2 linked regions of the Drosophila melanogaster genome follow. The protein of the gene in region 2 purifies or fractionates together with the protein of the main gene of each other region. This does not show direct contact. Each region holds a gene or a part of one and is shown on either strand. Other genes may lie near its edges.

Region 1 (4,467 bases), on a different chromosome or scaffold from region 2:
CTTCCTGCAGCCTCACCCGCAAATGACCAAGCCTGAACGAACGAAGAAGGTAGCCGTCCTTGACAGCAAACAAAACTCATGTTCTAACGCAATTTATATTAAATTTTTTAGGATCGTCTTGTGGCTAATGAATTTATTCAGTGTCGCAAGGTCTGCGAGCACGTGCTTGAAAAGGTGCTGAATGCGGAAACTACCCCAAGTGGGGGCAATGCTAACAATTCACTGCAGAATAGCCAGAGCGATGCTAATTCGGAGGGATCCCAACTGCCAGCTGAGGAACGAATTGAACTGTGGTGTAACGATGTGGTAAGACAAATGGACAAATCTCATTTAAAGGACCTTGTTCACCGCCTTTCCTTTAAAGGTTGTGGACCCCAACATGGACCTGCGCACGGTGCGCCACTTTATCTGGAAGCAGTCGACCGATCTAACGTTTCAGTACAAGACCAAACAGAATTTCAACTACGATGGTAAATAAGAGAGCCCACGCATTGAACAACACAAGAACACCTATCACAAACACAACGCATACTTGATTTCTGCAATTGCTATTGCCTAACCGAGAGTTGTGCTTATATATATCCGCCCCATAGGTTCGATCGGGGATAGCTTGGAGCGCGTGACGCGCAAGTATTGAACGCTGGCAAGTGATCTCCCGCCTAACCGAAGCAGTACCGATGCATTATTGAATGAGAACGAGATTGAGCAGATCGATTAACAATTTATATTTTTATAAGTTGATTTTGCAATATATTTGAGTTAACCTGCGATTCGTCTCATCTCTTCTCGACTCGACTCGTGGACAAACACAAACACATTCAAGGAGAATCTGTACGAGCGTTAACTTTAAATTTAAAAGTGCACCGGAGTACTTTTGTTTGTTCACTTCTCGTTAGGAATAAATATGTACTTCAGATTCAGACTTATAACAATTAGGCTTGCGACACACGTAGATAAGCATTGCAAAGGAGTAACTGCAGACATACCATTAAATCGTATTTGCATCTGAAGCAACTAGACCTAGAGTATTGCGCATATATGTATGTATGTAATATTCACACTTGTTTCACATTAGGTTTATACATAATTATTTACATAGAACATACATAGGTATAAGAAATCTGTTAAATATACAGAAAAATCAATGCAATGGTAGTAGCCCAACTTGTAAAGAGCTCTATGCAAGCCAATTTGTACATAAGTAATAAGCGAAAATCGAAAACCAGGATGGAAATCAATTAAAGTTATTAAATTATTTGGAAATCAAGCCTGTCTCTCAGTCCCTAAGATGATTACCCGCCCTCTTAACTAACAACTAGGAGTGTGCTCCTAACGCCGACGTCGCGTGCCCGCCACTCGGGAATAGGACTCGATGCAGGTCAGCAGGCTGAGCAGCTGTTGCTTCAGCGTCGAGGGTATGTGGTATCCGTGGATAATCCTCCGTGGCGCGTTGCTCGTCCGGATCAGCCAGCGGGCGACCAGCCAGAGGCAGTTTTCGCGCAGCGATCTCATCGGAAAGTGGATCAGCACTTCGCTGCGTACGTCAACCAGCTGATCCGGACTCTGCTGGCTCTTGGGTACCCGCACCCGAATCGGCTGAAAGATCCTCTGCGAGCGTACGTGCATCCGTTCGCCCGTGTAGTAATCCCGGAACAGCCAGCTGTGTGTGGTGAACGTGTTCACCCGCACCTCCTCGAAGGGCTTGAGGGTAAGGTACATGTTCTCCCGCTCCCGCTCGCACACCCAGTACAGATCCAGGGTGCGATAGGTGGTGTTTGCAAACAGCACGTACACCTCCACCTTTCCCTGATCAGCGCCCACCAGCTGCTGGCCGTCGCGGTTGTTCTGCGCTATTTGGAGCGCCATCTCCAGCAGGGTGCTAAGCCGATCTGCAATGGCTGCCAAATCAATTTTCGTTGTTTTACGTTTGCACAAGCCGTGGGAATTGGATTGAATCAAATCACAACAAGCTAACAACAAGTATAGATAAAATTCACTTCTTATCAGTTACGGTAACATTTTTCCTGCTGCGTGTCACTGCAGCTGGCCACACTTTCGATGAATGTCTTATCGATAAGGGGTAAATCAGCTGATTTGCCTCCGCCTCTCGCGAAAAGTAAACAAATAAACACCAAGAAATAACAAAATATGGCATTTTGCATAGCAGTTATTGGCAAGGATGTGAGTTTTATTTTTCATTTGAATACAATTAATTGCATGACAAATTCCCCACAGAACGCCCCCCTGTACCTGACCACATCCGATATGGAGCAGGAACTGGAATTGCAATATCATGTTAACGCCGCCTTAGACGTCGTGGAGGAGAAGTGCCTGATTGGCAAGGGTGCTCCGGAGTCCAAGGAGCTGTACCTGGGACTGCTCTACTCGACAGAGAACCACAAAATGTACTTGGGTGTAGTTATGCTGGTGAATTTGCAACTGATTGGTGGTTGATTTCATTACAGATACGGCTTTGTGACCAACACTCGGGTGAAATTCATAGTGGTCATCGACTCCAGCAACGTTGCCCTTCGGGAAAACGAAGTTCGAGCAGTGGGTATCCAATCTAACTATCTAAATGAAAGCCCCAAATACCTCCTACCCTCTGTATCTTCCAGATCTTCCGAAATCTCCACTTGCTCTACACCGATGCCATCTGCAATCCCTTTTACATTCCCGGCGAATCGCTGACTTCAAAGTAAGCGGGCTTCTCCTTAAAGAATATATAAGTTGCTCTTAATACGTTACTTTTATATCTGCAGGAAGTTCGATCGCGCTGTCCAGAAACTGATGAGCGGCACTGCCTAGCTGTAGATTAATACTGAACGAATAATAAAGCGAATTATTTATCAAATGCATACGTCTTTCTAGGAGGGATGTCAAGGTGGCCTGGCCAAGTGCCCGCTCCAAGCTAGACTCAAGAGAGATACGCACCGGAGATACGCAAACCGGTCGTTGGCTGGCTAGCCGTAGCCAAATATTATGCTAATTCGACATTTTTGACAAAAATAATTCGAGAATTAATTATATCTTTACAATGTGTCTGCTAGTTGACACATAGTTAGTTAATGTCTCCGCGTCAAACTCGTCTTCCGTCTGTTTCGGGCATTATTATGGGATTCAATGCGAACTTTAACTGAACGGCAATAACGAGGCACACATAAACATGTATTTTGTCTTATCTAATGCATAATTAATGAAATCAAATCCTACGCGTCTCTAGACTTGAACTTGGGCGCCACCGGCAGAGGTAAGCTGAGCATCAGTATCATATAAAAAGCAGGCAGAAGTTCCAGTTCGATATCAGTTAGCCTTCTCAAGTCTTTCAACAATCAACATGAAGTTCTTCGTAAGTGGCTTTATCGCAAATTGATCCTTTAATGATTCTAGCTGATTTGTTATTTACAATCCTTGTAGATTGCTTTCGCCTGCCTGTTGGCCGTCGCCCTCGCCAACGAAGATGCCAATGTTCTCCGTGCCGAGCAGCAAGTGAATGTTGACGGCTTTGCTTACGCTGTTGAGCTGGACAACTCTGTCAATGTGCAACAGAAGGGTGACCTTAACGGCGAAGAGTGGGTGGTGAAGGGAAGCCAGTCGTGGACATCTCCCGAAAATGTGCCAGTGTCCATCCAATATATCGCCGATGCCAACGGTTACCAGGTGGTGTCTGCCAACCCTCCTCTGCCCACCCCACCACCAATTCCAGAGGCCATCCAGCGTTCTCTGGAGTACATCGCCGCCCACCCCCCAAGTCAATAAATAATGTTAAATAAATGTGTTGAACTTTACTTTCCTAGACTTTTAATTTCTTCCCAAAAGGACTGTCGCTTCTTAAACCGAGTAGACAAACATATATACGCATCGTATTAGCGGACAGAAACTTGTTGGTCAGGGTCTACCAGACGGATGAATTATATTAGTACGTAATATGTATGGGTCTGACAGATGAACATTGTACCCAAACGCCATGCTGCCCCTGAACTCGGGGTCGTTCAGTTTTCACTTTCGATTTAGGATCACTTAGGAGCTGTTACTTTAGGATCACTGTTACGTAATCACGTTTTTTACCGGTTTTTAAACCATATCCATATACACCGGACCTGGTTTTGCGGTTTTGAAATAGAAGTAGACTAGTTCCCATTGCATATTTCAGAATAAGAAATTCCATATATTAGACTTTATTCTATGCAGATCATATCAAAATAATGAAAAGGGGTATAGTTATTTTTTTTCTGTTTGAAGACATTTAGCAATCCCTATCTAGTCACGTGATCGCGATGGGATAATCAGGCTCTTTGTTGTCATAATTTGCGATGCAAATGTTAGGCTTTTGGTCTTTGAAAGTGATGCGACCGTTTAAGTTGTGCGATGCAGATTATGCCACTGCAATTATGACGTCGACGGGTAAAGTGAATGCCATCGTAAATTACGTGGTGCAACCAGGGGCAGAAGTAGCAGTATCCGAGG
Region 2 (5,203 bases):
ACGCATTTTTATGTAAATTGAAAAATATTTCGCTGGCGAAAAAATGGGATATTTTAACCCTTGGCTGTGCTTTTTCCTCGATTCCCTTCCCAGTTATTTCTTTTTCGATATTTTGCGCTTGGTTACTGAGGTAATTGTTGACCATTCTAAGAACCAACACGAAATCGGTTCACATAGGTGCAATCTTCGATTGCTAATCAACATTCATTGATATCGAAAACCCAGTCGACTGAAAGTGGAAATACAATTGGCAAGTGGAGTATAATACACCAACATTTGATCCAACTGAATGGAAGATGCCAACTAAGTTAACGATGGCTTGTTTATCCTGGCCCACCCATCAGCATCGGAATATGTATATGCAATGCCGCTTGAAAATTGCATTTGCATACGAGCGATGGCATTACCTATGACGTGGCAAGCCGTAATGCCGGGCCATAATGTAATCCGACCGATTCCCCAGTTACCCGGCTCGATATCGGGTAACCATAAAGAAATTACGGCTGCCAGCGAGCGTCATCGATAATTCAATTTTGTGCATTATTTTGGCGCTGCTCGATGATGCCCTGCCATTATGGGCCAAACAAACGTATCCTGGGGCAGACTATATGGGTGTGCCACACTGCATGCCACACTGGCTAAAAGGAGCCGTTGCAGCCTGGCTTATTCCACTCTTTAATTTTATTGTCTGTTCTTGCTTGACTTTCTCCGCTTTCCCCTTTTGCTCCCATTTTCTACGTTCTGCTCGTCTATAAATTTCTCCGCCATGGTGGCACAACGCTTTTCCTTCGGCTTTATGCCGTGCCCGTAAATAGATTTTCCTTGTTATTGTTCACAAAATGATTTAGGGAAAATTAGGTTTATGTAAATAATGAAGAAAAAGAAAAACGAACTCTAGCTGCAGGCCAAAATATCCTTGGATAGATGCCTTTGCCTCGCTCGATACATACATACATACATATGTGATCAATTTCGTGGTGTTGGCAGAGGAAGGCCGGAAGACGTTTTCGACGGCATTTTGCCATATTTAATCGAAGCCAAGAGAATGGCTTAAATTGCTGTCTGCCTTAAAATCGAATTGAACTTAACGTGATTCAATGAAAACATTATGTTTACAAAACATGCGTACGCTGCCGGGATTTCAATTGTTAAGCTCTGTTTTTATAATTACAATCCATTCTGTTTGCAGCCCGTTCATGTGTGAATAAGCTCTGCTCTTAATGTGTAATCAATCTGTTAAGTTTTTTTTTTTTATTTGCTTATTGGCCTTTATCAGCGGAGCAATTAGTTTTGAAAATTTATTTAAAAATCACATTCACCATTTACGCCATTCACCATTGTGCAAACTATTTTGCCACGTAGGCAGTTTTGCACATTTATTATTTGTTTATTCTAGGCTGCAACAATATTTCATACTGACAGCCAATTAATCAGAAAAGGACATTCAATTAAGGCACAAAATCGGGCAGTGTGCAAAAAAAAAAAAAAAAAAAAAAAACAACACAAGAGCATGAATAGGACATGCAACAAAATATGTTCGCCATTATTATATTCAAATTTAATGCACCAACAAACAGGCTTTATGCCATCTATAAAAATTCGATAAGCGCAAATTGCATAAATAATCGTATTTATTTTTTAACTGCACAATAGCTACACATAACAATGGCCGCAAAATATGGATGTAATAATGCTCTGATTCGGGGGCGTACAAAATCGGATGTTGGGCTTGGCTTATCCCGGAAAAGTGCGTTCTAATTAACTGCAAAAGGCAGTGGTGAAAACACGCAAAAAAGTACTTTAAAATATGTGGAAATGTGTTTGCATAAAACTCAAGAGGAAAAGCGCGCAATGCGAGCGCAAAGAGAAACGGTCAGAGAAAACTGCTCTGGGAAATGCCGGGAAAAAGACAAAAACATATAAAAAAAATAAGCATTATAAAAACAAAAACTGTGTCAAACGTCAACGACTTTTTGTAGCTGGATTTTCATGACGCAGCAAATTGTGCGAGTTAATGTTAATGCGCTGAATTAGCTTAGAATGGGCGCTGTTTTCATTTCCACTCCTCTAATTGCCCGCAAACATGCTGCCGCTTTTCTACTCAAAATACCAGAACACACTATGTAATTGCTATTTTCGGCGCAACCCATATCAGTTCTTACTTTTCGGGTATTTATGTTTAAAGTTGTGTAAACAAGCCCACTGATTAGAGGCCGCCGATAGTGAAAGCAGCGCACACATAAGCCCGCCACTTTGTCACAGTCAGCCATGAATCAGATACATATATCGGTTCAAGATACAGATACATTATTTACAAGCCCCTCTGTCGTAATTAGAAGTACCCACGAAACCTTCGACGAGTTCTTTATGACAGTAAGATCAGCCAACTGTGCGAGGGCAAACATCATAAAAGCCTGTGAAAAGTACTAGTTTACAGAACCAGTTAGTTGTGTTAATTGTCCAAAAGACGGAAGTTTCTGAGAAACCTTCGAGCCAGTTTCAAAATGCTACTAACAGGGCACTAAGCTGCCGCATTTTACTCTGAGTTCCCGCCAAAAATACTTGGTTCACAGATCGGATTTCTTGAAACGAGAAACCTCCAGGTACACTGAAAAAAAAATATCAACTTCTATTCTATAATAACAAATGAATAAAAAGGATCTGTAATTCAATTTTAAATCATAATTGTGTTTAAATGGAAACTACTTTATAACGATTAAATAATCATATAAAGTTTATTTATCTTTTTAAAGGTACTACTTTTTTTCTTGCTGTGCAGATTTGCATAGCCGGCTGATCACAAGCTCTCAACTGAGCGGCGATCTAATTGTTTACACCTGACTGAGGTGATTTTGCTTAGTTTGCGAGCGGATTTCTGGGTTTAATTCACTGCGATATGCTGCGAGTCCAAGGTAATTTAAATGCGATACTTTAAGGTTGCTGATATTCGTATCTTGCGAGCGATAAGATAAGTGCCAAGTACGTTAGGTTTCTTCAATGTTTTGCAGTTTTATAGTTTCCCGAACTGGCAAAATAATCTATGCCACCCCCCACCAACCCCCCACCCATTTTAATTGCTGGCCACTAAAAACAAAACGTGAAAAGCCAAGAGAGAGAGAGAGAGAGAGAAAGTCGCAGTGAGAGAGGCAAAGAGCGCTCTTTCTTCATTTCCCCCTGTTTTATAATTAAACATGTGAGGTTAGGATAGTAGCGAAAAGTAGCTATAAAATAGAGCAAAGGTCTGTGATGCGAACACCGATGGAATATCAATTATACGCACCTTCGAACCGATCTGATTGCCGCACTGGCCCGCCTGCAGATGCACAATTTCCCTCATTTCGCAAATGAACTAGTAACTTTTGGCAGCCAAACTTAACTCAATTGAACACACTGACGCACACACGCACTATCAGCAATTATCAGCCACTATATCAATCTGAATCTGAATCCGAATCTGAGTCACAATCGGTCACGCATTCGGTTGAATCCGGTGAAGAGTCGGAGGAGAGCTTTTCGTGAGCAGAACGATCGACACGCGTTCGCTTTGAGAATCCAACGTGAACTGAATGAATGGCGAGAAACCGAACGCGACCCGCTGGGGAATTTGTGCTCTACGGTTAAAGGGGGCCGCATTAGTTTTCCACTCGGAAAAATATTTATAAAAAAATGCCTTTACAAATTGGCATGATAAGAAATGATAAAATTATGGTTTGCAATCTTAGATTAATATATTGTAGATAGTTTTGGTGATGTATTGAATTTAGTATAACAATTTTTCATATCAAACAGATGATCAGAGATCAGAGTTCTAAAAATACAAAAGTTTTTACAAAGAAACTTTTGTTACTCTTAAAAATTATAAATATTATAGTTGTAATAACGTGCTGCTGTTATCTTGGGCACAGCTGTATATACATTTTTAGAGTCCCTATAAAACAGGTTTATTTTATTAAACAGGTTATTATTTTTTTTTTACAGGTGGAACATTTCATTAATACATGACCCAAATTACATCAATACTTTAGATAAAGATTATTAATTAGAACGTTGGTTATGTTTAAAACAATGCCTCTTAAATGATGAACAATAAAAACAAATTTCATTCGAAAACCTATGAATACCCGAACCATTTATTCATGCTAAGTTCCTCTTCATTAGTGAGTATATTTATTTGAATCACTATCCAAAATTGCGGCAATATCTTCCCTGATTTCTCGAAGTGCAGAGAGCGCGAAGAGCAGAGGTCGTAAATACATTAGTTTAAGTGAAACTGTGGGACAAAACAAGATATTTTCCATAGCAGCGTGTTTGTCTTCCCGCTTTTCCCGACTTTTCCCCTTTATCGTATGATTTTTACCGGCTAGGCGCCAACAATGCAATTCTTTCTCTCCCATCTTACGCTTCGCTGAGCTGGTGAGAATTCTTAGGGAAAAGATAGAGAGAGGGGAGAGAAAGAAGAGAGTCGAAGAATGAGGTAACAGCACGTGAGTCTAAGGTGCAAAGAGCGCCACATTCTACATTCTACAACTGCATTCTTCAATCAGATTTGTAGAATTGTACATGGACGTACAAGATTGAAATGTAGCCAAATGTAAAAATGTAATTGAAATATATAAAGTTAGTTGTTTGAGTATTGAACATATATTTTATTATATGCTATTTAATCAGTATATTTTTGTTTTCCAATTACAACCTTGTAAATCATAGAATCGTAGCTTGAACAAACCAAACTTATCTACATGAATAATTGGAAGCGGTTTAGTTAGTCATTTTAGACATCTAGGTTATCAGCTTCATGAGATTGACAATAAAAAACGCTGCTGAAATGGAATAACATGAAGTCTGTCGAGTCACACACACTTAATACCAGTTTAAAATTTAATTTATGACTAAGTTGTAAACTTAGATAGACAGTATTTTTATTTTGTGATACTCAAATAAATTTCTTCAAAAGCCCATTCTGTTAATAGTTCTTTTAATAAACTTGGCGTAGTATCGCACACCCATGTATACGTCTGGCTTTTCGTTGTTGCCGCATTTGAAAGTCCACGTGTTGATGCCACAAACTTGCCGCCCCAACAGAAGTGGTCCACCGGAGTCGCCGAAGCAGAGAGTCTTGTTGTTGTAGGCACCGGCACAGATGATATTGGGTGGCATCTTGCGATCCAGCTGCTTCTCGCAATCTCGTTTACTCACAATACCA

The links.
Region 1: the proteins of betaTub97EF (region 2) and Vhl purify together in Drosophila melanogaster (affinity purification with western blotting, with the first as the bait; one study listed by BioGRID). This does not show direct contact.

The regions. Positions count from the first base shown.
Region 1 is NT_033778.4:11,277,277-11,281,743, reverse strand, and holds Vhl (von Hippel-Lindau), read right to left. Parts: upstream 2,020-4,467; 5' UTR 1,867-2,019; coding exon 1,330-1,866; 3' UTR 711-1,329; downstream 1-710. Other genes in the region: CG9062 (uncharacterized protein), read left to right, coding at 1-49, 112-306, 365-470, 594-637; CG9067 (uncharacterized protein), read left to right, coding at 2,149-2,181, 2,236-2,405, 2,466-2,553, 2,619-2,698, 2,763-2,808; Cpr47Eg (cuticular protein 47Eg), read left to right, coding at 3,338-3,349, 3,418-3,759. UniProt on the Drosophila melanogaster protein: Involved in development of tracheal vasculature. Probably involved in halting cell migration at the end of vascular tube outgrowth.
Region 2 is NT_033777.3:27,984,819-27,990,021, forward strand, and holds the start of betaTub97EF (beta-Tubulin at 97EF), read right to left. Parts: upstream 3,567-5,203; 5' UTR 3,338-3,566; coding exon 3,281-3,337; intron 1-3,280. Other genes in the region: CG4815 (uncharacterized protein), read right to left, coding at 4,948-5,203.